Linked DNA regions of Rattus norvegicus. The protein of the gene in region 5 interacts with the protein of the main gene of each other region in a pairwise test. Links are inferred from orthologs where the notes say so. Each region holds a gene or a part of one and is shown on either strand. Other genes may lie near its edges.

What was found.
Region 1: the proteins of Nutm1 (region 5) and Lmo2 interact in binary tests that used the Homo sapiens proteins (3 or more experiments, as listed by UniProt). The two-hybrid records come from large-scale screens. The link is inferred for Rattus norvegicus from reciprocal best matches to the Homo sapiens genes NUTM1 and LMO2.
Region 2: the proteins of Nutm1 (region 5) and Zfp277 interact in a two-hybrid assay, tested with the Homo sapiens proteins (2 studies listed by BioGRID). The two-hybrid records come from large-scale screens. The link is inferred for Rattus norvegicus from reciprocal best matches to the Homo sapiens genes NUTM1 and ZNF277.
Region 3: the proteins of Nutm1 (region 5) and Zmynd10 interact in binary tests that used the Homo sapiens proteins (3 or more experiments, as listed by UniProt). The two-hybrid records come from large-scale screens. The link is inferred for Rattus norvegicus from reciprocal best matches to the Homo sapiens genes NUTM1 and ZMYND10.
Region 4: the proteins of Nutm1 (region 5) and Samd4a interact in binary tests that used the Homo sapiens proteins (3 or more experiments, as listed by UniProt). The two-hybrid records come from large-scale screens. The link is inferred for Rattus norvegicus from reciprocal best matches to the Homo sapiens genes NUTM1 and SAMD4A.
Region 6: the proteins of Nutm1 (region 5) and Cchcr1 interact in binary tests that used the Homo sapiens proteins (3 or more experiments, as listed by UniProt). The link is inferred for Rattus norvegicus from reciprocal best matches to the Homo sapiens genes NUTM1 and CCHCR1.
Region 7: the proteins of Nutm1 (region 5) and Fam161a interact in binary tests that used the Homo sapiens proteins (3 or more experiments, as listed by UniProt). The two-hybrid records come from large-scale screens. The link is inferred for Rattus norvegicus from reciprocal best matches to the Homo sapiens genes NUTM1 and FAM161A.

The regions. Positions count from the first base shown.
Region 1 is NC_086021.1:110,824,047-110,828,183, reverse strand, and holds part of Lmo2 (rhombotin-2), read right to left. Parts: intron 904-4,137; coding exon 688-903; intron 1-687. UniProt on the Homo sapiens protein: Acts with TAL1/SCL to regulate red blood cell development. Also acts with LDB1 to maintain erythroid precursors in an immature state.
Region 2 is NC_086024.1:63,113,866-63,118,002, forward strand, and holds part of Zfp277 (zinc finger protein 277), read right to left. Parts: intron 3,926-4,137; coding exon 3,858-3,925; intron 2,224-3,857; coding exon 2,127-2,223; intron 203-2,126; coding exon 160-202; intron 1-159. UniProt on the Homo sapiens protein: Probable transcription factor. Involved in modulation of cellular senescence; represses transcription of the tumor suppressor gene INK4A/ARF, perhaps acting via the Polycomb group (PcG) complex PRC1.
Region 3 is NC_086026.1:117,097,032-117,101,928, reverse strand, and holds the start of Zmynd10 (zinc finger MYND domain-containing protein 10), read right to left. Parts: upstream 2,901-4,897; 5' UTR 2,798-2,900; coding exon 2,706-2,797; intron 2,469-2,705; coding exon 2,360-2,468; intron 1,278-2,359; coding exon 1,161-1,277; intron 1,072-1,160; coding exon 1,018-1,071; intron 931-1,017; coding exon 793-930; intron 683-792; coding exon 594-682; intron 500-593; coding exon 399-499; intron 1-398. Other genes in the region: GATOR complex protein NPRL2, read right to left, coding at 4,549-4,616, 4,702-4,844. UniProt on the Homo sapiens protein: Plays a role in axonemal structure organization and motility. Involved in axonemal pre-assembly of inner and outer dynein arms (IDA and ODA, respectively) for proper axoneme building for cilia motility.
Region 4 is NC_086033.1:22,810,288-22,814,424, reverse strand, and holds part of Samd4a (protein Smaug homolog 1), read right to left. Parts: intron 1,079-4,137; coding exon 877-1,078; intron 1-876. UniProt on the Homo sapiens protein: Acts as a translational repressor of SRE-containing messengers.
Region 5 is NC_086021.1:119,512,086-119,516,222, forward strand, and holds part of Nutm1 (NUT family member 1), read right to left. Parts: intron 4,132-4,137; coding exon 3,426-4,131; intron 1,601-3,425; coding exon 1,472-1,600; intron 1-1,471. UniProt on the Homo sapiens protein: Plays a role in the regulation of proliferation. Regulates TERT expression by modulating SP1 binding to TERT promoter binding sites.
Region 6 is NC_086038.1:3,209,598-3,213,117, forward strand, and holds the end of Cchcr1 (coiled-coil alpha-helical rod protein 1), read right to left. Parts: intron 3,496-3,520; coding exon 3,450-3,495; intron 3,299-3,449; coding exon 3,150-3,298; intron 2,830-3,149; coding exon of another isoform or gene 2,819-2,829; coding exon 2,630-2,818; intron 2,552-2,629; coding exon 2,450-2,551; intron 1,649-2,449; coding exon 1,497-1,648; intron 1,387-1,496; coding exon 1,236-1,386; exon of another isoform or gene 1,075-1,235; coding exon 929-1,074; 3' UTR 786-928; downstream 1-785. UniProt on the Homo sapiens protein: May be a regulator of keratinocyte proliferation or differentiation.
Region 7 is NC_086032.1:101,216,940-101,221,076, reverse strand, and holds part of Fam161a (protein FAM161A), read right to left. Parts: intron 3,544-4,137; exon of another isoform or gene 3,507-3,543; coding exon 3,289-3,506; intron 1,227-3,288; coding exon 96-1,226; intron 1-95. UniProt on the Homo sapiens protein: Involved in ciliogenesis.

The DNA.
Region 1 (4,137 bases), about 8.7 Mb from region 5:
CCTGTCAGTTATAAAGTCAGCCACCACCTACTTCTTAAGTCATGTACCAAGTCAAGTACTTCATTCTAACCTTACAGTTACTATACCCATTTTACAGGCAGGAAATCGAGGTTTTGTCTAAGGCCAGTACTAGGAAGCAATGAAGTAGTGAGTAAGTGCCTCAAACCTCCCGACTCCAGTGTCTTCACCTTTGTAACTGCTGAATGCTAGCCTCCTGCTAGGAAACTCAGTGCTCAGGGCTCAAGAACAGAATGCTATTTTAAAAGTTCTCATCAACAATATTGGAGTCATGCAAAGGAATGTCTACATATATGCATACGTTCATTGAGTATCAAATGAGAACCCACTCCCAAACTTATAAGCGAATTCCCTCTCTTCCCTTAGTTCCCCTGATATTTCCCTACGTATACTTCTCCAAACCCTATCCTGCCCCCACGGAATTTTGTCCTTATTCTGAATTCCGTGTTTATTCTTCTCTTACCTTTAAAAACCTCAGTGATTTACCATGCAGGGATGTGTCTCTGCAAACATGGCCACAGCAAAGGAAGAGCTCACGGCTTCTCTGAAGAGGCAGTGGAGGTTCAGCCTCCACAGCCTAGCCTCCTTAGGCAGACACCTCAGAGCCAAAGCGGGAGCCAGAGACTATGTGTCCAAACCCAGATGTGCCCAGAAGTGTGAGGGATTTACCTGAGATAGTCTCGCCTGCACAGCTTCCGTCCCAGCTTGTAGTAGAGGCGCCGGCCCACCTCTCCCAGCCGACACCCACAGAGGTCACAGCTGAGGCAATCCTCGTGCCAGTACTGGTCGATGGCTTTCAGGAAGTAGCGGTCCCCTATGTTCTGCTGGCAGCCACCACATGTCAGCAGGGATGGGGGGATCTGCAGCACCTCATCCACGGGTTCCCTGGGGAGGGGGCCAAGCATTAGGAAAAGCTCACCAAAGGGAGACAAGCACAAGGTCTCAGGAATTGCTCCATGCTCAGGGTTCTGTGGGGAACCTCACTACATTTCCTTCCAGGAAATAAGGATAAAAGACTCCCTAACTCAGACTGCACAGACACAGGCAACCTTGGATAAAATGGGAATGGGATAGAGAGATCTTAGCATCTGAAAAATTGAAGACAGAATACCAGGAGGTGTCCAAGGCCCTGCAGATAGTGTTGGTCCCTTGCCTCGTCGGCACCTCTGATCCTGTCTGCTTCTTCCACCTTCCCTTCCTGCTCTGCTCCGTCTTCCCAGCCCTCCCTCCCTTTCTTCTTTGGAACTGCCAAATCCTAAGAATATACTTTGGGACCAAAGGAGCTGCTCATAGTCAAAGCATCTGATGACCCAGTGTGCTAAAACCTACAGATAATCTGTTGGATTCACCCTACTGAAGCCCTTCCCATTGCACAGAATCAAAGGAAGAGAAAGAAGAAGAAAGCCACCGAGATTACATCAGGTTGCTGTCTCTTTCCAAAACCGAAAGTTCCATCCATATCTAATTATTCCAACTGAAGTTTTTTGCATTCTTTCTTACATTCTGCATGAATCTTTGGCTAGAGATGAGCTTCATAGGTAGAGGGATGGCCTAACCTATCAGAGGCCCAACGGTCACCTCTCCAGTGCCATGGAAAGTGGGGACATAATCCCAGCGCATCCTGAGGCGGAACCTGGAGGAGCAGGATTTCATCAGCATCATCCAGAGGCTCAGGGCTACACTAGACACCGTCTCGAAGAATACTAGATCCGAACGAATCTTTGGGAGGAAATCTAGGTTACGGTGTGATTCTTAACAGATAGCAGACATAGTTGTTTTTTCTTTCTTCATACTTTTTCAGGGTAGCAAAAGTAGTGTGAATAAAATTAAATTAGTAAAGAGAGTGGAAGAGGGGACCACACGATGGACCTAAAGGAGTGGAAAGCGATTAAACTGATACCAAAGTCACTCTGTTCTCACAGTGATTCTGAGGGATGTGTTCTTGGATTTAAGAAGTTGTATGCTGGGAATCACAAGCTGCTTATGAGGTTAGAGTGCTTGTCGCCAAGCCTGATGATCTGATGTGGTCCTCAGGACACACACGGTGGAAAGAAAGCGCCAGCAGGTTGTTCTATATATAACCATACATATAGATATACACACAAGCAAGCGAGAGCAAGTGCATGTGCTCACACACACACACACACACACACACACACACACACACGAACAGTAAAAACTATTTTAAAGATACACATACATAGGGCCCTCTGCTTGCTCTGCCTTCCTAGAACCTGAATACTTTTGTTTTACATGTAAGAAGAAATAACTTTTCTGAGGGAAAATGGCACGGGAGAAAGGATTGTGATAGCAAATAGGAGACAGAGACACTTAATGCTTGTTGACTTGTAATAATTAATGTGCTCCTGGAACATTATTCAAATAAAACCTACTTTTAAAAAAAATCTAGTGGTTTTTTTTTTTCAAATTAAAATTAGCTTTCATTCCTTTGATGGAATGTCCGATGGCGTTTCCTCTTGGGTACCCTGGGCGACACGTCTGTGCCTCTGATCTTTATTTGGCACATTTCCCAAGTGACCTTGTGGCCCAATTGGCCTGTGCCCATGAGGCTCAGCAGCATTACAGTTGGGGACAGTGAGACTCGGGGAATGGCTGTGCACAGGGCACTCCAGCATCTTCAGGTGACCCATCCGTTGTAAATATGTAGCTAAATACTAATGCCAAATCCACCATTATAGCACAAAATATAAGATTACCTTCTTTAAGAACCAGGAAGTTCGAAGCTCAGTTTCTTTGAGAAAAACAATGATCAAGTCAAGTGTTAGGTGTCGTTTGTTGTTTCGGTGTTGACGATCAAACCCGGGTCCCTCGTCACTTTAGGTAAGTGATCTTCACTGTGATTCCTTTCTCCATTCTTTTTGTTTGCATTGTTCTTAAGGATTTAATTTTATTTTTAATTGTATGTATGTGTGTGGGTACATATACACAAGGGCAGGTGCCCCAGAAGGCCATAGGCATCAGATACCCTGGCAATGGAGTCACAGAGGGTTGTGAGCCACCCAATATGGGTGCTAAGCATCCAACTTGGGTCTCCTATAAGAGTAGGAGATGCTCTTAGCCCCTGAACTGCCGGTTCTCTCTCCACCAAGTGGGTTCTAGGGATCAAACTCAGGTCATCAGACACAGGGCAAGCACCATTAGCAGCTGAGGCAGCTCACACGTCCTTTCTGTCCCTTTAAATTTTAAGACAAGATCTCACTAGGCCCAGGCTGGTCTGGAACAGTTCTTCTGCCTCAGCCTCTCATGTATATAGAGTTACGGGTGACGTGGGCTAAGACCTTAAATAGTTTAAATAATACACTAGAAGTTGCCGGGTTGCCGGGCAGTGGAGGCACACATCTTTAAATCCCAGCATTCTTGAGGCAGAGGCAGGCAGATCTCTGAGTCTGAGGCCAGCCTGGGTTACAGAGTGAGTTCCAGGACAGCCAGGGCAAGAAAGAGAATCCCTGTTGGTGTGTGTATGGGGGGGGGCACTAGAGTCTTTTTTTTTCTATAGGGTATACATAAGGGCTTCCAGCCTCATATTCTCATATCTGAAAGTTAACCAAGATCCTTGGCCTGTTCAAGTGCACCAGTTCAGAATCAAATCTCTTCCCTTTGCATAGCTCAAGGTTTTACATTGGGCTTTCAGAATCACCCACAGGTCTTCCATCATGTTTGATGCCTAGATGGCTGATGTTATTACCAGCCAACTTTGAAAAGGAAGAATTTGCACTTAGCTAGAACAAAGCCCTCCAGAATTAAGATGATCCGAAGGGATCACCAACTGCATGGTGAAGGAAATCTCTGTGCATGAGTTCTGGCTTCCTGTGCACATGATACCTTTGCACAAGCCTAGGCAAGGGCTGACCTGCATCTGGAGATGCGATGGTGAAGATCCAAGCTGGCTTCGAGCAAGCACTCGGTGAGGCCGCTGGCAAGAGAGTGAGATACAGGAGAACGAGACATGCCGGTCTGAGGACAGATATGGACAGGACCAGACTCTGACTCAGTTTACCTTTCTATAATTAATGACATGCCATTCTCTCTGGTGAACAATTCAAGCCAAAGACTGAATGAGATTTACCTTAAGTTAATATTTGATATCCTTCTACCAGC
Region 2 (4,137 bases), on a different chromosome or scaffold from region 5:
AGAATGGCCAAGAATTACCGCTTTAGTGAATTTCGGAATGTCTGCACAGAGATGGATCATGTGATTGCAGCCCTTAGTCATGGCTAACACCGGTATCACTTACAGGAGGGTCCACAAAAGCGCAGCATCATAAAAAAATAACTTCCCAACCAAACTTACCGAGTTCTGACTTTATTCTGAGGAGATCAAACTCGTGTGTGTCCTAAAAAAGGGAAGGAGCATATTTGTAAGCATACGAATTATTTAATCTTTCAGGCTAAAGCTATAAACAGACATCTGATTCAGAAGCAGTCTGAGTTCATCATCTTCTGCTTTTGATATCTTCTAATTCTAACCACCTTCCTCCATGGTCAGCAGTTCTCTAAAGCACAATCCAGAGCATCAATTAGTTGAAACGTTGTAATTGGTTACAGCTTATTTTTGCCAATTTACAATGTCTAAAATATCTAGCCTGATAAAAGAGTGTGTTAAGTTGTGATTCCTGCATACAGGGCATCTGGACCACAATTACAGAACTAGGTTTTAGAGAACTAGAAGCACGTGATGTTTCACACAGTCAGTGTGTGTGTGTGTGTTGTGTGTGTTTGTGTGTGTGTGTGTGTGTGTGTGTGTGTGTGTGTGTGTGTATGTGTTTCTTCGGTTCTACTTTTACATTTCACATCAACCAACCTTTCTTTGGACTGCCACAAGACAGAGACTTATGGTATTCTGCTTGTCCCCTTTCTCCAGTTGACTGTGCTGTAAATGTTCAAATCTATCACCTCACAGAAAAGCAATCTTGTTCCCTGTGGCAGCATTTTGTGCAGTACCAGTAGATGCAGGATGCTCAGGAGTTCATGACATGCTACCAACTGAGCATGTCAATGAGCAGGACCAATGATCCTTGTGAGGAGTCCAAGAATGTTATCCCTACATGGTGACACACCTATAAATGGCCACATATCCATCCTACTGGTAACCTATCAAAGACAAACCGACTCATAAGAATATATGCCCATAGGCTTTCTAGCTCTGCCCAGGACCTTATTTTGTTGAACTAAGAACAGTATTTCTCAATGAGGAGAACTGAAGGTGAGTAAAAAACAGATGCCAACTATAGACAGACACAACTCAGAAGACAGGCAGAGAACGTCAGAACTCCACAGAAATATTGTTTATTATTATTATCATTATTAATTATTATTCCCATGCTGTTGAGATACTGTCATATATCATTAGATATTCTTTTCTTTACCCCAGCATCTAGCCAAGGTCAGAGCAACACATAGGGAGTATCTTTTGGGTATACTGAAGTGAATAAAGGTTCAGAATTCCTAGCTTCAAGTGTCACCTCAATATAAACACGACACAGAGGGAAGCAGAGCCGGATGCTTCTTCTGGTTTCTCCTCCCCGAGTGGCTCTCAGGTCACATTATGTGCAGCTTCGATCTTGACCTTTGTGAATAGCAAGACTTTTGCTCTTTCTACCTTAGTCAACAATACAGGCAGGAGCAGAAAGAAGGCCCCAGAACCCACTACATTTGGATATTGTCACTGTGGCTGCAGATCTCTCATCTCCTGAGCTACGGTGATCAAGGAAGCCCCTTAAGGGTGGGAGCCGTGACATCTAAGCTACGGTCTGCTCAGGTTAGTCAATCACCCTCTACCCTGCACCACACTCTCCCCTCCTGGATGGATCTGGCCTGTCTCTTCTGTTTGTACTTTCTGGAATGGAATAATGATTGGAGGATGTGGGCTTCCTGTCTGTTTCCACACTGAGACTAATGTACCTTGACAAACAACAACAACAACACAACAACAACAACACAACAACAACAACACAACAACAACAAACCTTCATGGAGAAAGAACAAAGTAGAGAGTGACAAACGCTGCTGTTTGTCCCTTTCTCCTAACCAGCTGCGGACTGGTCCATGGAGTGGTGCTGCCCACACCCAGCGTAGTCACCTACCTAAATGAATCAGTCAAGAAAAGCCCTCAAGCACACCCAGAGGCTCCTTTGCTAGGACATTCTAGGTCCTGTCAGCTTAACATAAACCATCCCAGCGAGTTACTGTCGATCAAATGATTACCAGCTCCACGCTGTCAGAATGAAACAAAATTAAAGCAAGATAAACACATCTCACCTTCATGTGCACATACAATTTATCTATTGTCTCCTCTTGCTTTTCACAAAATAGGCAGACAGCAGAGACAGGGTACTCCTGCCAATCAGACCAGTCACTAGGTTAAAAAGAAGACAGAACACACGGTCATCTTCTCACTGGAGGTGCACCTCATGGTGAGTTGTGTTAGTGTCTCTTTCCTAGCAAATGCCACTGATCATTTAGTGACATGTTGGGAAAGACTGCCACATCCTATTACGACTTTCAGATACAGAGTCTGGATTTCCAAGCATGAGATGACAGCCAGCCAGTAGGTGCTGCCCTGGTTTCCCCATTTGCCACTCTTTTGAACAGTGACTTGAGAATGGACACAGAGAAATTTAATTCCAAAAGGACACCTATCAAGAGGTGGGACGTTCTCTTATTAGTCCCAAGCACCAATACACAGGATGTGAGCGGACGTGCTTCAGCATGGCGGACTGCGTGTTTTTTTTTTTTTTTAAAGCCTACAGTTATATTTCAAGAGGGAAACACTGATTATTTTAAATGGGGCAAATGTTACATCTTGTGGTAGAATGGTAACTCAAAAGGCATGCAGGGCTGGAGACACGGCTCAGGGGTTAAGGGCATATACTGTTTTAACAGAAAGCTTGAGTTTGGCCGACTGAGGGTCATGGAGGCAGGTAGAGATTGTAACTGCTCAGGTTCTGGCCCAAGGCATCTGCTTTCTTATCCGCAGATGGCAAAGTTATGTTGTAAGCTCCATCAGCAGTGATGGAACCCAGCTTCCATGGTTGCCCAGCCATGAAACCATTAGCCCAAACAAACCCTTCTCTTCTGTGGTGCCTCTTGGACTTAGATTGCAGTGACAGGAGAGCCCCTTAAGGAGCAGTGCTACGCATGCCACGGCACTGGAACACTGTGGTGTCCGGCACTGCACTCTCACTTGCTGCGACTGCTGCAGTCGAAGTGCAGCTGCACAGCACACACAGCTGCAAGGCAGGCTGTGGAAGTCTTTTACTTACAGGCCCCAAAGAATCCTGATCCTTACAGGTTTTTATTACCAGGGAAGAAGCGGAAAGAGGGCGCAGAGAGACAACTGGAAATGCCCATTACGGAAAGTACGGAGTGTGAGGTCTCTCTCAGTGCTGCTCTAACTGGGATCTGAGACAAGCTCACTATCAGACCCAAACCATTACCACTTCAAAGGGATGGATGGAAGAATCACATAACAGACTGTCTAACATGTATTAGTACATATGACCACTCAAAGTGTGAGTTTGTTTTCTTTATCTAAATTCCCTTTGATGATATTTTTATGTATGGTAGAAAAGAATATGAAGAAATCAGAGTCTTAATCGGATTTCTGTATGCACCGTTGTATCTGCAGTAGGTTTTTGCCTAAGACACTGACAATACATATTTCTTACATTATTTCTGTATTTGTATGTCCTGTTCTCTGTATGAAAAAGTAGAAAGTAAAAAACAAAAACAAAAACAAAAACAAACCCAAAACAAAACAAAATAAAAACAAACCCAAACCCCAACTAATCTCACCCAAAAGTATCGTTAGTGATTTTTTTATGGGAAAATTATTTTAATTTAAAAACCTTGCCACTTATATGAAAGGGTGTATGGCTTAGAGACTTTCTTCTTATTGTCCCTCTTTGGAATGGTAATTACAGCCCAAATTAAAGAACCATCTGCCCGCTCTTCGACGCTGTAGCTGACAGCAGCAGTGCGGTGCCTTACTCTTCCTGAAGGTCCAGCAGCTCACGGTCGTCTTCCAACTGCACCTCTTCCCATGACTTCCCGAGTTCCTTTGTAGGAAGAATGCAGAGTTCAGACAGAGTAAGGAGAAGAGGTGCAAAGAGCGAAAAAACAGACATCGAACCCAAATACCACCACCATTAAACCAAACCCACTCTGATGGCTTCCACTCACTGCTATGATTGAGATGAATAAATCCTGAAATGCTAAACTAAAATAGTAAACATATTTGTTTCTGAAGAAACAGCCTTTTAATCACGTT
Region 3 (4,897 bases), on a different chromosome or scaffold from region 5:
GAGGAGAATGAGGTGTTGTGTTCACTTTGAGAGTGTGTCGTCCTGGGGTTGGGGATTTAGCTCAGTGGTAGAACGCTTGCTTAGCAAGCGCAAGGCCCTGGGTTTGGTCCCCAGCACCGGAAAAAAAAAGAAAGAAAGAAAAAAGAAAAAAAAAAGAGAGTGTGTTGTCCTTACCTGGCATCGTTTGAAAGCCTGGACCACCAGATTTGTCAGAACAAGGTTGATTTTCAATAAATGACTCAGAGGCCTTGCCTGCCTCAGAGTCAAAATCTAGTCCCCTCTAGGGTGAGGCATCCCAGAATCCTCAGTGTGTATGCTGTACACTTCCATTGATCTTGAAGGAGGTTCCGGAAGCAACCAGTTACAGTCTTAGGCAAGTAGGGGGAAGAGAGCCTTACCTCCTTCCCGCCGGCTCCAGGGACTGTGCTCTAGCAGTTCCACCAGGAGGCAGGGCAAGTTGTGTGTGGTAAGCATTCGGTTCAGTGTGCTCAGGGAGAGGCTAGGGGTTCGGGAGAAGGGCGGTTGGTTAGAGAGGCTACGGGCCAGGACGCACAACCCTTTATCGTGTGCCCAGGACCTGGAGGGTGGCCCACCTATCCATGCAATCTGTGATGTATCGAAGCACGGAGAGGGCTTTCAGGGAGATCTCAAACTCCATCATCTCTGCCTGCTTCTGCAGCTCCTGGGGGTGGGGGTGGGTGGGCAGAGGCACACAGTATTCACCCTCCTCCCTGAGGAGGCCAGAGGGAACTCACATCGAGATTTTGCTAAGTCTGGGGAACCTGAGCTTACTTGCATAGGGGTACTGTCCTGGAACCGTTCTTCCTCAGACAGGTCACCACCGCCTTTCCGAGCCACTAGCAGTATCAGCTTGCGGTGGCAGTAGTCTACTAGGTCCAAGACCGTGTCATCTGCTGATTCACACACTTCCTGGGGGGGTAAGGGAGGGAATGATTCTGGGATTTGATGCCTTTCCCGACAGACAAGGAGTAGAGTCTTTCAGGGAGAATGTCTCACCTTGTGGAAGAATACTGTCTCTAGGAGATTGATGATGGAGGCCTCATGATGTACCTGTCGAAGAGAACAGGGCTGGGCTGAGAGGGAGAGGTGGGGCTGTTAACTACCTTTCGTGGCCTAGGACTCCTGAGGGCCCAGCTCACCACCATGTATATGGGGAAGGTGTTCTGGGGCTTGAAGTCCTCCAGCCGGCACAGCACCGGGAACACCTTCTGTTTCCACATCTCCACAGCAATCAGCTCCTCCACCAGCGTTGGGATCTGTGAGGGGCAGGGGAGGGGCAGGGGAGGGGCAGGGGTTAAATGGACTTGCCTTGCCTTCCCAGCTCTCCTGTCTGGATTTTAGACCAGGCTAAGTCTCAGCTCTCTTGGGTTTCCACTGAATGACCTTCACTGTGCCTTCTGCTTCTTACCCCACCTCCATCCAGGCATCTCCCCTTTTAGGGATGCTCTCCTCTTCCTGTCCTTACTTTGGTCTTTGTCACCTGGTCAGCTGGTTGGGTGCCTTGGCCTCACTCTTTTTTTTTTTTTTTTTGGTTCTTTTTTTTCGGAGCTGGGGACCGAACCCAGGGCCTTGCGCTTCCTAGGCAAGCGCTCTACCACTGAGCTAAATCCCCAACCCCACTCTTTTTTTTTTTAAGGATTCATTTATTATATATAAGTACACTGTAGCTATCTTCAGACACACCAGGAAAAGGCATTAGATCTCATTACAGATGGTTGTGAGCCACCATGTGGTTGCTGGGAATTGAACTCAGGACCTCTGGAAGAGCAGTCAGTAGTACTCTAACCACTGAGCCATCTCTCCAGCCCTTGGCCTCACTCTTACTGAGACCCTTTACTGCCTTGCTCCTAGACCGACCCCTGCTACCCAGCTCTGTCTTTCTCTTGCAGGGGAGTGAGTACCGCCCTTGGCCCATCCTCCAACCTGGCATCTTCCTGGCTTGCTTCTACTTTCTCCTCTTGTGTCAGAAAGGCTACCTTCCCCATTTGGAAAGCTGCTTCCTCCTTAGTAAGGAGCTCTTTGGCCTTACAGTCAGTTCAGGCTCATGTCAGCACTTGAGTGCTCCCCCTGGAGTCTAGGATCCACTACAATAGGAAATGTAGCCAGGTACAGTGAGGCACGCCTGCAGCCCCAGCACTTGTGAGGCAGAAACAGGAAGGTAATAAGCTCATGGCTGTCTGGGCAACAGATCGACACCTTACCTCAAAATGAAACAAACATATTTTTCTTTCCCACTTAGGAATGACAGGTGTCTGGGGTCGGAAGGAAGAACAGGGGCCCAGTGTCCCCCGAGAGGTACAGTAGGAAGGTGGAAATCCTGCCTGGGGCCTGGATCTACCTTCCCGTGGGTGACCAACAGTTCCTGGATGGGCTCAGCCTGGCTGACAGTTGCATCGAGGATGGCTTGCATGTTCAACTTCTCCAGGTTCTCATGTTGCTTACTCCACCTGCCCCGGAAGAGATGCATATGTGCATTGGGTGTCCAGATGTGCAGCGGGAGTGAGGGTGGGGCTGGATCCTACTAAAGCCTACCATGATCCTGTCCCCAGGCCCTACGCTTCTATCTCTGAGAGCTTTCCCTACCCACCTGGAGACCCCTCCACACTGGCAACCCCTTCTCCAATGTCAGTCCCAAACTCCTCCACTAAACGACCAGGTGACTCCACCTGTTGCAGCTGCCTCACCCTTCAGATCCCATCTCCCGAAGCTGGAAGCTGTGCAGGCCCTGCACCAGCACCTCAGCCTCCCCAGGCAGCAGCAGCTCCAGGTCACCCATGCCAGGGACCAAGATTCCTTTGGCTTCAGGAAGCAGTCGGAATGGAGAAGGAAAACTGAAATATTTAAGGACGACAGAGTCCAGCGGCAGGACCAAAGTCTTGGGACAGAACAGTTGCTAAGCCGTTGAGGCGTGTGAGTCCTCGTCGCCACGGAAACGAGGGAGCTTGGCGCCTGCGTAGTTTTGTCCCGATGCCACGCCCACCTCACCGCCAATAAGCAGCCCCAATGCGAGACCCACTCACCACATCTCTCTGGGGCTTGCGCAGCTGTGAAGTAACTCGGATCCTCACCAACTCCTGCAGCTGCACTGTCTTAGCCGTTTCTGCAGCCGAGTCTTTTTGTTTGTTTGTTTGTTTTTTGTTTTACTTTATGATACAGGCTGGCGGGGAACTTCCTATTTATACCAAACTGGCCTTCAAGTCAAAGAGCTCCACCAGTCTCTGTCTCTTTAGTGCTGAAATTAAGGCATGCACTACCGTGCTCAGGCCAGGAGCCCTAATGATGTACATCTAACATTCTTCCTGGATCCCAAAATACTTGACCACAGTCACAGTGGTTTGCCAGCTACTCCCAAGAACCTGCCCTCAGCCTCTCTCCTACCCCCGCGCTTCAATTTTTGTCCCACCTCTTTTACTTTAAAAATGTTTGTGTGTGGGCCATCTCCCCAGCACCTCTTCCTCTTTTTTTTGAGACAGGGTCTCATAGCCAAGACCAACATGAGCTCGCTACAGAATCAGGGCTGGTTTACATTTTTCTTTTTCTTGGTCAGCTTCCCAAGTGTTGGGGATTCAGGCGTCCACCGCCATGCTTGTTTCCCATGTTCCAGCCTTGTAGGCTTTCCCTGGACACAGGGTCTGACTGTGTCACCTAACTTGGTTTTAACTCGTTATGTAGTCCAAGCTGTTCTTGAACTTGGGGCAAATCTCTTGTGTCAGTCTCCTTAGTGTTAGTATTATAAGCATGGGCAAACATGTTTGGCCCTTGACTTATTTCTTCTGGAATAGTCTTATTCCTTCAGGGTTCAGCTTAAGTCACCCAGATCTTCCTTGGCAATCAGTTTACAGGCCAGAGCTGAGTACTTGCCTGTCTCGCATGCACAAAGCCTTGTCTTCAATGCCCAGGACTGCATACGTGGGCTGTGGGAACAGAAACCTATAATCCTAATCCCCAGGAGACCAAGGCAGGAGAACCAGAAGTTCAAACCAGGAAGTTCCAGGCCAGCCTGTCTATATAAGAGCCCGTCTCAGCTCTATCGGCTACTCACCACCAAAACAAAAAACCAAACCATTAAAAATCTAGGTGTGGCTAGGCGGTTCAGTGCCTACCTTTAATCTTAGCACTCTGAGGCAGAGGTAGTCAGCTCTCTGAGTGCGAGGCCAGCCTGGGCTAAATAGTGAATCCCAGGACAGCCAGAGTTACATGGTGAGACCCTGTCTCAAAAAAAAAAAAAAAAATCAACCTCCTTCCCCCTCAAAACAAACAAACAAAAATAAAAATAAAACAAAGCCTCTTGGCCTGTTTATTGACATTTCTGTCCACTAGATGGCGCTCCAGTCAACCCAGTCGGTTGACATAGCTTTCACATTCACTGGCCTTTATATTCCACAGGATGAAACACATGACTTTATTTACAAAACAGAGGCTCACCCCTCCAGACCACATGTACTAGACTACTTGTCTAGCTCCCATGGACCAATGAGGGCTTAGTAGGGGCAAGTAACCACAGTAATATGCTCCAGCCAGCCAGCCTCACTTCCAGCAGATGATGATGTTTGGGTCATTTTCTAGTCGCTCGTCCAGCTCATGGTAGCTCATGCCTGGGGGTGTGAGCAAAGCAAGGTCAGCAGGCCTGGCATGGCCAGTCAGTCCTCCCCTCCCCCCACCTGCCCTGCCTGCCTCTACCTGTCTTGCAGCAGATCTCATCATAGCTGTGACAGCCTGTGTAGAGCCGGGCAGGGTGGCTTCGTTCCTCCCGAGACACTCGGACTGGATATTTCTGTAGTCTCCGGATGAGGTTCTTCATAAGCCCAAACTGGATCAGCTTCCTGAAGGATTGTGGGGGGATATGTTGATATTCCAGACACACTAACCCTCTGGC
Region 4 (4,137 bases), on a different chromosome or scaffold from region 5:
TTTCCTTCTCCCCATCTCCAGAAGCCTTTTTACTGCATTTGTTGCTTAAAGGGAGTGTGTGTGTGTGTGTGTGTGTGTGTGTGTGTGTGTGTGTGTGTGTTCTTAGAAATGCTTATAGCAAACAGTACAATGAGTTTAAGGCTCTTTTTGAGACTCCCCAAATTTACTCTCTACTGAGGAGAAAAGAGGACTCAGTACTGGCAACAGGCCTGTGTCATTGCAGCTCATGTGTCCTGCGGCGACCTCGCCTAGAACTGATAGCGGGGGTGGGGGGGTGGGGGTGGGGGTTGGGGGTTTCTTAGACACGTCCTTCCCATTGGGAGAGGATGCCACCAGCCACCTCCTGGTGAAGCCTTTCTGTTTTAAAGCCAGCCTTTCATCAGGCCTGCTTGTGTGTCCCCAGTCCCAATGGGGTTTAGGGAACGAACACTTAGGGAAAGACAAGGTTGGGCTCAGGGGACAGAGAGAACACTGTCAATCTTACAGCAAGGGACAGCCTCCCCAACAGTCCTGTGAACTCACCATTGCATCTGGGACTGTGAGGAAAAGGTCAAAGAAAGCTTATTAAATGCCCAACCAGACTGGGAAGGTGATGGTATGTTGGGGCAGGGCACAGATCAAGCAGAAGTAGACTTTTCATGCCTGTCTACAAAGGCCCATGTAGAACTAGTTTTCCCAAGCAACAGCCATGGGGTTTCAGTTTCCAGGGAAACAACACCAACAGTGGTTACCTAGGAAGCATAGACTCGGCTATCCCCCTGGTTTAGATCCCTTGGGGTCATCTCTTTCGATCTGGAGACTGTCCAGGTTAGGGACATCTTAAAGCCTCGACCCCTGAGCTCTGTCAACCTCCCTGATCCCCAGAGCAGAACAAACCTGTCTTCCTTGTTTCATGATGGTGGGGTTGGCAGCAGTGTGGCGCTGGTTGGAGCTGACAAATCCACTGGTGCCCAAGAGACCAAGGCGGGCAGAAGGGACGTTCCGAGATGCGATCTGGTACTGTCGTGGGTTCCGTCTACCCATGCCACTGCCCACAGAGCTGGCCGTCGGGAGGGAGTTGGACTGTCCAAAGCCACGACTGTGAAAGCAAAGAGAAGGGATCCAGAGGCATGCTCTAGCCCTACACAGCCCAGGCTGCCTGCCAGTGGGGGCCTCTTTGGGACTGACAGTTAAGTGGCTTGGGGGTGCCAATAATAGGCTATGATTGAAACTGTACCTCATATCTAAAACAACAGCACATGCTAGATGTTGGAGCCTGCACACTACTCTTAGTCCACACGACAACCCTAGGAAGTAAGCTTCCTAATCTTCACAGAGAGAAAAACCCAGAACGCTTGAGAATTTTGACATCGCCACACAGCCAGCAGGGGGCAGCACTCAAATATGAACCCAAAAGGGGAGACCATTCTCCTGCGTTCTCCTATTCTTGTCTCAGCCAACCTGTGGGTCTGTGCATGAGGGCATGGCGCCTTTCAAGAAGCCACAAAGCAAAAATAGTCGAATCAGTATCAGAATGGGATCTGATTCCGTTTGTAATCTTCTCCTTCTTCCCCTATAGCATGGTTCATTTCTTATCAGGTTGTCGGTGAGCAGTCTTGGATGGAGGGCCCGATTGAAATATGAGCTCTGTAAGAAAGGACTGCGTGTGTCTTCCTCAGCCCCTAAGGCCCAGCCCCGAGGCAAGGAGACAGCGTTTTGCACAGTATATGCTGTTTGAAAGTGGGCCATTGTGATATTTCTCCAAATGAGAGGCCACTGGTGTGTGTGGCTGACTCACACACACCCAGGATAGTCCGGTCTCATCGTTCCCCAGACCTTTCCTGCAGGGCGGGCCTCACCAGGGCTGGCAAGACTTCGCTTTTCAGGTCCACACAGGAGACTGCTCCCAGTGGGGTCAGATGAGCTCAGCGGAGAAGCCTCCACCAGCCCCGGGCTTCTGGGAGGCTTCAGGAACCGGCGCATTCTTTCCAAGGGAGTCAGGGAGCTTTAGTTATTCGGGAGCGTGGAGAGGACATGCGTTGCAGGCAACGGCCACTAGATGGAGCAGGGTCGCTTGGTTGCCAAGCTGGGGAGTTTTCTCTAAGCTTGTGAGGAGCCCCTGTCGATGAGCTGACTTAGCTTAGCCGGTGGAGGTCCAGGGGGCCCTTCACAGCAGTCACTTCCTGAGCCAGAGCCGGTTGTGTGTGGGTGTGGGGGAGGTGGTGCTTGAGGTGGCAGTGTAAAAACTCCCAGAGTTTCTAAATTTCTTAGGGAGAGAAGGTTCAGGAAAGGAATCCAGGGAGTCTATCTTCTTCCAGGCTTTTGTGGCCAAGAAAGGTGTTCTAGATTCCATTCTGAAGAGGAGGTTCTTCTTCTCTTGGCTTCTTGGTCTCTTTGTTTAATCTCATCTCCCCTTTCCTCACTGAAGACTGAAAATCAGGGTGAGGCGAGCTAAGAGTGCTTCCATGCAACCAGAGACGCCAGGGAGGTAACTTGAAAAAGTAGCAGCAGGTAGGGATTCCGGCTCTCAGCTGTTAAGAACTGGTCCTCGGGCTTCGGAAGTCAGAATTTGGGCCTCCTGGCAGATAGACGATCAGTATCTGCTAAGACTCCCCAACCCCTTATTTAGTGTGAATAGATTTTTCTCACTTCCCTCTTTGGCTGGATTTTTAGAAGGCAAAACAGTAGTGGATGAATGTCGTGCTAAAATGATTTGTTCTTCCACGAAAGCAACAATGTAGCTTGTAAAAAAATTTTCTGAGACAGGGTCTCACTAGGTAACGAAAGCTAGCCTCAAACTATCCTGTCTCAGCCACCCAAGTGTCTGGGACTACCCAGAAAATCAGACCTGGATCAAGACTGTATTTCCTAGCTACATAAAGGGCAGAGGGGCTCTGTTAGGGGCAGCCATTGAAGAATGGAGAAGCTTGAGATTCCTAACTCAGCTGTTTGGGAGAAGGGAGGAAAGCCCAGAATATTCCAGGGTCTGGGGTGGTGGTGGTTACAGCACAGTGGAGGCAGAATTTAAGAGGCCATCTTTTTCCTGGTGGTGGAGTCCTGCTGTGGGGTCCTGAAAAGGTTACTTTTACAAAGCCAGGTTTGGCAAGAGAGTTGCTGCTGCTGCTGGGAGCTGGAGTGAACTCTGAGGTCAGTTAGGAGCGCTCAGCTTAAGGAAGGAGATTGCTCTGCTTCCCAAGGAAAACCAAAGAGCAAATGAAGCTCCCATCCTCAGACCCGCTCCCCTCCCCCTCCCCCGAGCCCCGGATGCCTCACCTTCTCCCCTTTATGAGTCTAACTGATTTCCTTTCCTTGAAACGCATGGAAAGTCTTTGATAAAAATAACATTAGTAAGAAGCAATTAATTTGGGATTTGAGAGATAATTTAAAGCAGGGGCTTGCCTGCGGTTACTCTTGTATGGGAGAAACTGTTTTTCAAAAACAAATTAACAGTGTAAAAATATCCCCGAGGTGGTGCAGGGAACAGAATGTGTTTCATGGGTTTGGCACCACCTTTTTGCACATCCATAACTGGTCGATGAATTCATTCTTATCTAGTCAATAAAAAGACTCAGATGTGGCAGACCTCAGGCTAGCCCCGACCTAGCTAGCATGGGCTGATAAGTCTGTAAAGGCTCAAGCCCTGATCAGGCTTCTCCCACAAGGCAGACAGAGGCAGGGGATGAGCTGCTGGTGAGAGGAGCTTAAAAGCCATATCTTCAATTTCTACTTCAGAATGACTTCCTCTAGGGTCTGTCTGGTAGGGCAACTGGATCTGGAGACCACCTCGCCTGGGAGTGGGAGTATTTATCACCCACAGAAATGGGAGAGCTTGGTGGCAGTGGCAGCCCAAGGCAGTTGAGGAGCGGGTCTTGTTTTGCATCCAGGCAGCTGATGCAAAACTGACCTGCAGCCCATCGGAGTAGGCCTATCCTCTCTATACATCAGGCTGCGACCAGAGCGGTCGCCTGGCTCTGCGGTGGTGAGGAGCGCTGATTTGGTGCCCAACACTGGCTAGCTTGCTCCACGTCCTGGGCGCCTCTGCCTATCCATTTATCTGTAAACTAAGGTTAATAATAGCAATTCTGCTTCATAGGGCTGTTGTGAAGCTGGAATGAACGAATATATTTTTAGTGCTCAGAAACCACTGGGCTAACTAAA
Region 5 (4,137 bases):
GTCACACAGACATACACGCAGGCAAAATACCAGTGCACATAAAATTATTAGCATTTAAATAAAAAGCATACAGACTGTGGTGAGAAGGAGAATCCATCCCATCAGTAACACAGACACCAGGCAGCATCCGCACATGGCCAGGAAACCATGCACCCTCATTTTGGCTAAATCCTGTTGAAGTTGGGACGGCCAGGGGAAGCTGCTCACGGGTAGGTTGTAGCCTAATGACAGTTCTGGAAAATGCTATTCTATTGTCTCTTCACCTTCGGTGGTTACTCAGGAAGCTAACTAAAGAAACTGGTGATGTACAGCATACCCTCTTCTGTGCCATATCAACCTCACCCAGTGCCCTGACTAATTAATTACTACTTCATGTAACTGGCCCGTGTAACCTAGAGGTACACTCTAAAGGGTTGCTCCTGATGGCCTCATCTGTCCCTTTCTACAACTGAAAATGATGGCAGAATTTCTGAAGCAGAGCCCACCAGAGTGCAAAGGCTAGAACAGGTCCTCAAGGGTAAACCTAGGAAGCTGAGGGTTCAGATTCAGGGGGAGAAAAAAAAAAGATACATTTGGAGGAAATGCTTCTTTCCTCAGTTACTGTGATAAGGATTCTCACTATGTTGCCAGGCTGGCTTTGAACTCCTGGCCTCCAATGATACTCCCACAACAGCCTTAGGGCCATGCGTGATGACCCACAACATCACAGCCAGCCAAATTTCCTGTGTTTGGACATGGCTGTGCTGTAGAAATGGGGAATGAAGAGTCAGGAGACCACTCTGGGTATCCAGTACCCTGTTTCTTCTGGCCAACCTCTTCCAGAGTTGGTCCCTCCCTGGAAATGGGGGAAAACGAGTTTTCTGTGCTATTTTTAAAAACAAAAGCAAAACAAACCATGAAAGGAAAAGTGCTTGTCAAGTTCCAGATCATTAGCCACTTGCTGTCCAGTGAGCCAAAAAGCCTTCATGGTAAGGTTCTCTCAGTGAGGGGTTTTTAGAGGCCCTGGGTTCAAACCTATGCTAACACCTTCAATATGAAAGCCATATATAGATCCAAGACCTGGAGGCAGGGGAGCTTTCAAGAACAGACAGCTTAGGTGGTAGAAGCAAGATGGGTCCAGGAGACCCTCATCTGGCCTACAGCCCTCCTCCTGTTACACTATTCTACTTCAAAGTTTATTCCACTTATTTGTATGTCTGTATGTACGTATGTATGTGTACACACGGATGCGTACAATGTGCATGTGTAGACCTCAGAGAACAGCTTCTAGGAGCCCCTTCTTCCTCCATGTGAATCCTGAAGATCAAACCCAGGTACAGGCTTGTGGTACCCGCTGAACCATCTTGCTGAAGCTACGATTACCCTCCTCCCTCCCCCAACATACACACACATACACCTGCCTGTCTCTGCTACCCCTACATTCGACCACTCCCCAACCCCTGCAGGGTGAATGAGGGTTCATCAAACTCACTTCTCTGCCATCTCATAAAAGATCATCCGGTCAAAGTTGCTGGTACGCTCCCATTCCTGCAGAGCCCTCGGCAGTCCCTCCTCCAAGGTCATAGTAGGCTTCAGCCGGGCCAGGGAACGAAGCACTGGGCTAAAACCCCCATTAGGTCAGACACATTGTAAAAGTGTGCCCTGCACCTGTTCTGATGCCCCCACCTCAGTCCATAGCCCCGTCTCTCACCAAATCTAGGATGTCCCATTTTAATAAGATCTCCAGAGCCTCCCCTCACTCTTGCCGCCCTTCCCACTGAGAGGTGCAAATCTCCCCAGAATGCCATCATGGATTTTCTTTTTCTTTCTTTTTTTTTTTTTTTCCTGGAGCTGGGGACCGAACCCTGGGCCTTGCGTTCGCTAGGCAAGCGCTCTACCACTGAGCTAAATCCCCAACCCCACCATCATGAATTTTCAAATAGGATATTGGACCATTACTTCTGGAAAGCTCCAGTGGAAATCGAGTGTGCAGACTAAAGCAAGGACTTCATTTTAGCCTGCCTGGCTTCTCTTTAAGTCCTTAAACATTACTGAGTATCCGAACCACCCAGGAAAGCTTGCTATAACCATGGGATTTAGAAGCCAGGATCCCAGAACTGAGCATTGAATCAGCTTCCCGGATGGCTGCTGTAAGTCTTGATCATGCCCAGCAGAAGATCCTGTCCACGGCATGGAATTGTGCAGAGGAGGAGTTGGCCAGAAACAAAAGGGGATGAGCCGTATGCAAACCACGAGAGCTCATACTGGTTCCAGATTTAAAAATTGTGTCACCAGGTCTTCAAAGAGAACTCAAGAACCATCTCAAGAAACCAGGAACTCAGTAAGGTGGTGTTTATGGAGGACTTTAGGAACAAAGAAGTTCTCCCAGCCACCGGAAGGGAGGATGCATTTGTTTTCAAAGTCTGGAGAGGTATGGGGATGGGGTGTCTCAGCTGAGAGCTACCCAGTCTGCTTGGAAAGTAGAGAAAATTTCCAAGAGGACTAATAACTAATATGTAAACAAAAAAACACAGCCTGTAACTCCAGGCATCGTGGCTAAACATGCACATAACCTAAAGGAGGGATACTTTGGCCTTTTGTGGGCTCCCTTCCTCTTTCAGGTTGCCTTTTTATAGTATTAATAAAAGAATGACCATTTGAATGATTCATTTTCTATGCCAGGCACTTTGCCAAGCACCATTAATCTTCTGATCAACCCTTGGAGATAGGTATAATTACCCCCTTTTGTGATGAGGAGCCTCAGGGCAAAGGTGTTAAATGTCCTGCTCTGGATCACACACCTAGTATATATGGAGCCAGCTGTGCCTCCCCTCTCCCCGTTTCTCCTTGACTCCTGAGCAGACAGAGTTCACACACACTAAGGTCTTTGCCCGACCCAATGCCATCTTCCTCATTCCCACAGGAACGAGTCAGGGCCCAGCCCACCTCATCTCAGTGTCAGAGGGCAGGCAGGCAGGGCCCTGACTTTTGGAGTCAGGGACCTACATGCCAATTTCTGCTTCCTGTTTTATGACAGGAAGTCTCTCATTCTTCTCAGGATTACCATAAAATGCTTGCCTGACTTCACAAAGTTGTAGGCATTCTTTGAGAAACGGTACCTGAACACTTCTTATAAGCCGGGAAGAACGTAGCACTGTTTTTCATTCTCTGAACAGTGTCTTCTCACTCTCACAACTGCCTTCAACAATTCTGAGTTCAATTCCTAGCAACCACATGCTGGCTCACAACCATCTCTAATGGGATCTGACGCCCTCTTCTGGTGTGTCTGAAGGGAGTGACAGTGTACTCACATAAAATAAATAAATAAATCTTTAAAAAAAAAATTCTGGAGGAGCCAAAACTACTGCATCTACCCTAGAGTTCTCTCTAAAAGCCCTAGGAAAAAAAAAGTCAACCTTGGATATCCCACCCCCACCCCCACTTACATAAGAAAGCAGGAAAGAGCTTCTGCATCAGGACTCTGGGATAGGTGAGTCCGGGCCAAGACTTTGTAGCGCTGCCAGCGACGATAGTTCTCATAAACGCCCTTGGAAGCATAGGCAAGATCACCTTGAGAGGGCTTCCGAACAGCCACAGGACCTCCTTCCATGGTTGTTGCTTGTGTTCCTGGCCAGGGCTTTTCCAGGGGCACAATGGGAGCCAGCTGGGCAGCTGGTGGTAGTACCTGCAGGGGAAGTCCTGCAGGGCCCTCCTGGCTCACTCCAACAGCCACGGCAGGCAGGATGGTCTTCACATTAGAGGCTGTCACATATCGAGGAGGAGGCCCCTCCTGGCTCCCACAGGGAGCACCTGAGTGAATCCAGTTTAGGGCCGTCTGAGTAACTATAAGGTTCTGAGTTTGAGAGGACTCAGCTGGCCCCACATCTGTCTTGACTTTGACAATGACCTGGCCAGTTCCAGCCACACTGGGGCCAGGGCCTCCTTCTCCTGTCACCAACAATGGGCTGGGGAAAGCAGAAAGGAGCAGAGGATTGCCTGGAGAGAAGACAGGCGGTATAGGGGGCTGTGGTGATGGCTCCCAGAGGGATTGGTCTGGTGGAATGGGAGGAGGTGGGGCAAAGGGAAGTGTACTGAAAGGGGACAGGCCAGTACCAGGTTTCATGGCCATATCTGGTCCTGGTAATGGAGAGGCTGTTG
Region 6 (3,520 bases), on a different chromosome or scaffold from region 5:
AATGTTGAATGTTTAGTATCTTACTCCAGGCATTCAACACCCAAAGAAAGTAACTTTTACAGTAAAGGAGGACAAAGAAAACTTGGTCTGGGTAGCAATAGCACAGGCCTTTAATCCCAGCACCGGTGTGGTGTGGTATGGTGTGGTGTGTGTATGCGTGTGTGTGTGTGTGGTGTGTGTGTATGCCTGTGTGTGTAGTGTGTGTGTGGTGTGTGTGTGTGTGTGTGTGTGTGTGTGTGTGTGGTGTGTGTGGTGTGTGTAGTTGGGGGAGAGGGTTGGGGGGGCACAATACAGTAGCAGGCAGATCTCTGAGTTTGAGGTCAGCCAGATTTAAGGAGTGAATTCTTGATAGCCAGAGCTAAACAGAGACCCTGTCCTAAAAAAGAAAGGAAGTGAGGGAGGGAGGGAGGGAGGGAGGGAGGGAGAGAGAGAGAGAGAGAGAGAGAGAGAGAGAGAGAGAGAGAGAGAACACACAGACTTGGGAAGCAGAGGTAGGTGGGTCTCTGGTTCAAGGCTAGCCTGGTCTACAGAAATAAGCTCTAGGACAGCCAGGGCTATCTTAAATGTCAAAACAAAAAACCAAACTAACAAAACCACCACCACCAACAACAAAATCTGGGAGATTCTCAGAACACTTCCAGAGCAGTTAGGAAAGGTTTGGAGAAAGGTACCCTCAGAGGAAGGGCAGGGTTAGGAGGATAATCGTCTCACAGCCCCCCACCCCCCACCCCCCAGGGGCTGGCTCCAGGGGAATCCCAGTCTCCCAGACATCTCCAGGAAAGGACTCCATTCCAGCCATCTTTATTCAGTACAGAGTTTGAACTTGGTGGAAGCTGGGGTCCCAAGGCTTGCTGGGGAGCAGGGCCAGGCTGGCCCCACCCCATGTCCTCCCATCCAACCCTCCTGGGGATCCAATTCCAGGCTAGCTTCACTCCTCCTCCTGACAGCTCCGGCCCAGCAGTGGATTGGAAGGAGGGCTCTTAGTGTTCTGGTTATCTTCCAGACAAATAGCGTCGTCTCTGGAGATGGCCTCGCTCAGGCCTTGCAGGTTATCAAGCAGGACAGTCAGGGAGCCTGACAGAGGAGACATTGCAGAATGGACACGGGGGTGAGAGCAGGCTGCACAGGCTGGGAGGCCCTGAGGGAGGATCCTGGGCACACAGCAGCACAGATAAAAGGCCAAGGGCCTCTGGGGCTCGGGCCTGAAATTCCGCGTGCCCTTCAGTGTGTTCTACCTTTCATAGACTCCTTGCACGGTGAAGCTGCTGCAGACTCAGGGGGCTCTACAGGCTGGGAGCTGCACTTCTTACTCACTCCCGAGGGAAGCACTGCTAACAGGCGCTGCTGCTTGTAACGGGAGAGGAGACCCTCTTGCTTCAAGGTGGCCTGGGAAGGAGAGGGTCAGCCACACCGCACTGGCCCAGGCCAGGCCACCCGCCCCTCCACACCTTTACTCAACCACCAGCTCCCATGACCAGTTCCCTGCTGTCCCCTACCAGCATGAGGTTCTTGTCCCTCTCCAGCTCCTGCACTCGCCGTGTCAGCCGCTGCCCTTCTTCCTTCCGGGCCTCGTCCTGCAGGCGCCTGAGCTCCTGATTCCGCTCCTTTTCCAGAGTGGCTTTGTGTTGGATCTGGCGCAAGGAAACCACTAAGGAGATGGGAGTGGGTTAGCCCAGAGCCCCAGAATGAGACTTGAGCTCTCAACTCTCTCGGGGACTCTTCCACACCATGGGTGGGCTGATGTCATGGGATCCTCATCCCCGATGCCAGTTCCTTAGGCAAGACCTGGACAGGGGCCGGAGTGACACTCATGTGATCTGTGTTGCTGCTGTCTTGAGACAGGTTCCGCTATGTGGCCCAGGCTGGCCCTAAACTATTGAGACAGGTTCCGCTATGTGGTCCAGGCTGGCCCTAACCTACTCTGCCCCTTACTTTCAAAGGCTGGGCTGGGGTGACAGGCAAGTGCCGCCATGTGTGGCTAGGGCTCGTGTTCTTACGACACTGGTAGCATGATTAGAGAATTTTCTATCTGTGAGATGTGCAGCTAAACCATCATGTCTGCTGCAACTTACATGACTCAAATGTCCACACGTGTAAGCACGGACATAGGCAAGCGAGCAGGGTGTTAACTGTGTCTCCACTCAGGGAAGACACGAACATCCATCCTGTTCCTCTAACTCATCCAAGTGTTAGGTCTCTAGTGAGGGCAGCTGCCAGAAGTGACGCCACAACAGTGGTGTCCACTGAGGGGCAGTGACGCAGGCCCGGAACCAAAGCTGTTCCTGAGCTGGTGCTGGCTGCGGTGTGTTCACTGCGTAAGAATTCACTTATGTCAGTCCTACGGTACGTCACTACATACACGTGTCAACAAAAAGCTTGAAAAAAGTCTGGGGTGAGATGGGATTGGCAGCCCTGTGTCTCAATGCTGCCTTCCTCCCGCACATCTCACCAGCCTTGGCCTGCTCCCTCCGGGCCTCGTTCAGCCTCCTCTTTGTGTCTGAGAGCTGTTCCCGAAGCCGACTTTCCACCTCCGCCACCTTCTCTTGCAGAGCTGCAGTTGAGGGCATGAGGCAGTGTCAGGGGGAGCTGCCCGTCCTGCAGGGTGGCACACACTGCCACGCCCCCACACCTTGCCCGTAGATCTCCTGCTGCTGGGTCAGCTCCTGACGGAGGCTGGCAGCTTCCTCTGTGCTCTCCTGCTGGCCTTGACGGGCTGCCTCCAGCTGCTGCCCAACGCTAGCCAGGGATTCCTGGGCACGCTGCAGCTCCTGCTCCAACTGCTGGGCTACTTCGGTCAGGTGCCGGTGCTCTGCCTCTCCTGAAAGGGAACTGTGGTCACGCAAGACCTCTGCTGGCACCAGAGCTTCCGCTGATCAAGTCTCCTCCAGCCCCGCTCAGGCAGGCAGGCAGGCAGGCAGGCAGGCAGGGCAGGGCAGGGCAGGGCAGGCAGGGCAGACAGGCAGGCATGCAGGCAGGCACACAGGGCAGGCAGGCAGGCAGGGAGGCAGGCAGGGTAGGCAGGCAGGCAGGGAGGCAGGCAGGGCAGGGCAGGGCAGGCAGGCACACAGGGCAGGCAGGCAGGCAGGCAGGCAGGCAGGCACACAGGGCAGGCAGGCAGGGCAGGCAGGCAGGCCGGCAGGCAGGCGTACCTTGCTCCCGTACCCGGCCCACCTCCTGTTGGATCAGGTGGGCACTTAGCTGCAGTTCTGCATCCAAGCGGTTCCGTTCTTCCCGTAGCTGCTCCAACTCAAGGCTCAGGTCCGTGTCCGGTGGGGGTGCAGGTTCAGGTGGGGGACAGCTGGGACAGCGATGATGGAGTCAGAGAAACCTCCCCAGCAACTGAGTGACCGGTGCCTCCACCCCTCCTTGGTCCCTCTGGGTCCTAGCAGCCAACAGGTTGTCCCCAACATCCACACACACCCCTCCACCTCAATGTGCCCGAACTTTACCTCTCCAGGCGCAACTGAACAAGAGCCAACTTTCGAGCCATCAAACCTGAAGAGAAGAGAGGACAGACAGA
Region 7 (4,137 bases), on a different chromosome or scaffold from region 5:
AGTAAATTCAGATTTATCAAGCCAAAACCCACAGGGCTTCTTCCTATGCCAGTTCAGCAACCATGTGACCAGGAGCGCCCATCCCAGTGCCTTACCTGATGGCTTGCTCGCGCCCTCGGGAAGACGCGGTGGGCATCGGAGGGCTGTATTCACAAGGCCTGGCGCTGGCGTGCGCGCTTCTTCTGGGGGATTTATGCCTAGGAGAAGGATTAGGCCTGCGTGTTTCTTTCAAAATTTCCTCACCCATTCGGATGTCTGCCAAGATTTTCTGTCTTTTATTGGAGTCACATAAGGATTCGTAAAGACAACACTGGTCACAAAGCACCGGGCAGTTCCGAAAGCTCTGTTCAGAGAAGGGTTCCTTCCATTTCTCCAAGCCTTGGTCACTGGGGCTCAGGCGCCTATGCCTGTGTTTACCCCTTGGCATTGCAGGACTTCTGGGGTCCCTGAAAGCTCTGTAAGTGGAGTGACTGGGCCAAGGCGAACTCTGCAGCACATCTCTGGCCTTTGGCTGTGTCCTGCTGTCCCCATAGAGCTCTTCCCTCTTTGGCTTGACATTCGCAGGTGGTCTGTAAATAAAACGAGGCACAGGCCTGGCTTTAAACTGCTTCGGTTTCTTCTTAGCCCTACAAAGTTCTCTCAGCTTCTTCTCACGGATTGCTTGCTTCTGTTCCTCCCTCGCAATGAACTTAAAGGGCTTCTGGGAGGCCAGGAGTGCGGCTTTGCTCCTCTCCCGGGTCTTCTTCCGACGCTCCTCGTTCTGCTTGACTAGATCCTCATAAAGGGGAAGGAGCAGGCGGGAAGGAACTGGATTGGCTCGGAATTTCTTCTTACACTCTGCATCGTCCTCATTCCTCTTGAGCATCTTCTCCCTGGTTTCCTGAGCATCCGAGGCCTTCTCTCTCCGCTTCTGCTCTCTTACCGTCATTTCAAAGGGCACCGGCACTGTAATCCTGGGCGTCCAGGCTTTAGGTTTCTTCCTGTTTTTCTTGGCTGTTTGGAGGTCAGAGTCATACTGAGTATAATCTTCAACAGAAAAGTCGTTCCACATGTTGTTTATGAGCTCCTTGGCATAGGACCTTGTTCCGATTTCCCCAGGAGTCTTTTTCTCTAGGTCGGGCAACTCATCAGTAGTTGTGGACAAGGAGGACGACCGGTCTAGGTCAGGCTCTGAAAGCGAGGTCGCCGACAAGGCAGGATGTGAGCAGCTCTTTTCCGATGCAGAACTAGGGAAGAAGAAGAATTAGGGCACACTTCCAATTTTATGTGGCCAAATGTTAGAGTTACTGTAACTGCCAATGTTATAAGATTAAGGTATAGTCAGCTAGAAGACGGCAGCACAGGGTCGTGACAATGTCGTTTTTCTTTGGAATAGAGCTGAGAGAGGACTGGATTATCTAACACACTCTGGCTTTTCAGAGAAGGAACTTGAGTCAGCTGCTCCTCGTGTCTTACTGTAATCATGCCTCTGTGTTTCCAGAGTCACCTTCCTGACCATGTCTGACCATGTTACTGCTACCTAACATTTCCATCTTCTTTGCTGTGAAGTCTGACCTACCTGTCAATCAGGACTGGCGCCGCTTACCCAGCAGCCTTACCCCTCCCTAACCTAGTCATCGTTGTTGAAGTCTTCTAGAAGACTGTTGTCTCAGTCCATTTAGTTGGGATGGACGACTTGGTCATTTTATAAACTATGCATATGTTGTCATTGTAAGGGATGATTTATAAACACTTACGGTGCTGAACAGGGAGGGAACTAAATATGGAGCTTAGACTCGGGGATTTATTTCCTTTTCTCTGTCCTTTCGCTCTTAGATAAAGGGAAGAGGGGTTGTAAAGAAAAAGGGGGGGGTTGGGGATTTAGCTCAGTGGTAGAGCGCTTACCTAGGAAGCGCAAGGCCCTGGGTTCGGTCCCCAGCTCCGAAAAAAAGAACCAAAAAAAAAAAAAAAAAAAAAAAAAAAAGAAAAAGGGGATATAGACATATTATAAGAAATTTGACAAATAGGGCTAGATTGTTTAATATACTCTTAAACAAAAAACAAAAAAACATTTTATAGCCATAATCTTACATTGGTACAGAATTCATCATCATCATCATCATCATCATCATCATAATACTGCAAGGCTATGTTATATTGGTACAAAATATAAGCTTAATTTTGGTACAACATAATATATTATGTTTTCAACTCTTAGATAGGCACTGTGCCTATGCAATTCATTTAAAAATGCAATTACATTTATAATGTCCAGTCCATTTGCATTTGGCAACTTAGATGCCAGTGGCCAATGGCTAGGCAGAAAGAAAGAGATGGGACTTCCAGGTTCCCACAGGTGAGGAGAGAGGAGAGGGCAGGAAGAGGAGATGGGGAGCCTTGGGAGAGTGAGACAGAGCAGGCTCGGAGCTGTAGGGGCATCCACCAAAATGTAGGTGGAAAAGGAAAGTGGCCCACAGAAAGGCAGCAAGGCCAATGGGCTTCACTGAGGCTGAGGGCAGATTTAGAGAGGGTGAGCTAGGAGTGAAGGGAAGGGCATGGTAGCCGCAGAAAGCTTAGAGGAGCCCAGCCATCAGAGCCAGTAAAGCAGTTTAAAAGTGAGCTGTGTGTGTGTGTGTGTGTGTGTGTGTGTGTGTGTCTGTCTGTCTGTCTGTCTGTCTGTCTGTCTGTCTGTCTTTCCTCTGTGTACTGGAGATAGTCACTGGGTGGGCGTGTGTCTGTGACCAGCCGGCAGCATAAAGCAAAGTAGCCAAAATTCCCACGACAGAGGCTGGCCAGGAACATGGTAAGTTCTAAGCCATCCTGGACTACATAGAGTACAAGATCATCTTTCAAAATTGGGGCAGCCTAAATATTTTGATGCATATCTGTAAGCCTGAGTAAAGCAGAGAGACACAGATGGGAGGGCTGGAGACATGGCTCAGAGGATAAGAACACTGGCTGCCCTTCCAGGGACACAGGCTTCATTCCCGGCACCCACATGGCAGCTCACAGGTCTCTATGGTCACCAGGTGGACAAGTCATGTAGACATACATTCAGGCGAAATGCATTAAAAAATTACAATAAAAAAAAAAAACAGATGGCCACCAAATGACGCTCAAAGCAAGAGGGAACCTAGTGAAATGATGCCAGTAAACACTGTGAATAAAATCCCACCTTTATATATCGTTAATACTGGGAAGGGCTATTCAGAAGCCGGTACTGTGGGTGCTTTCCCCCATATGTCGTCCAAGCATTTATCTTAGTTCAGTTCACAATGACAGTGACGACCATCTCTAGAAGAGACTTACCTAGAAGAATCATCCCCAACGAGCGCTGCCTGGATGTCCTTCATAGTTAGCTTGTCCTGGTACATTTTCTCTAATTTTACCATGGCCTCTGCATGGGCAGCCCTCAGGTCTTTGAGTTTCCTGAAGTACTCTTCATCAGAGTGGTAAATATCAGAGAAGTTCATAGTGTTCTCCAATGTCACCTCTTTGTCCTTCCCAGGAGAGCTGTGACAGCCTGCCTAATAGAAAGAGAATCCTGTTGTCTGCCATTTGAAAGTAAGTAACAAATTGACCCTGACCCAAAGCTGACTCTTGCAGAAGTCTCGCCATGTAGCCCAGGCTGGCCCTAAACTCCGTATGTACACCAGGCTAGCTCTGAACTAGTGATCGGCCTGCCTCTGCCTCCTGATCCCTGGAATCAAAGGCGGGCGCCACCATGATGGCATTTAATAATGGTCGGTTGGGCTCCTAGATACCTAACAGAAAATAGTCATGTGATGCCGCTACTGCGGAAGGCAGAGTGGAACTCGGTGGAACTCAGCGGCTACAAGGATTTCTACAGGAAGCCTCTTCTGAGTCGCGCAGGTTTTGGCTGAGAGGTGAGCAGCTGCTGCCCCTGTGCCCAGAGCCAGCTCCAGAGGGACTCCTGCCTCGGGGCTCCAAGGGTGTGCAGTGGGTGGGGCAGTAATGGGGCCCAGGGACAAAGTTCTCCGTGGCTCTCCAGGGAGCCCAGCAGGATGATCTTGGAGGGGAAAGGGATACAGGAGAGGGCAGAGGAGAGTCACCGCTGTGAGCAGCAAGGAGAGTGACACCAATGACACCACAGGTGGCAAACACTTTGTGCATGAAGAGAGCATGGAGTACTGTGTG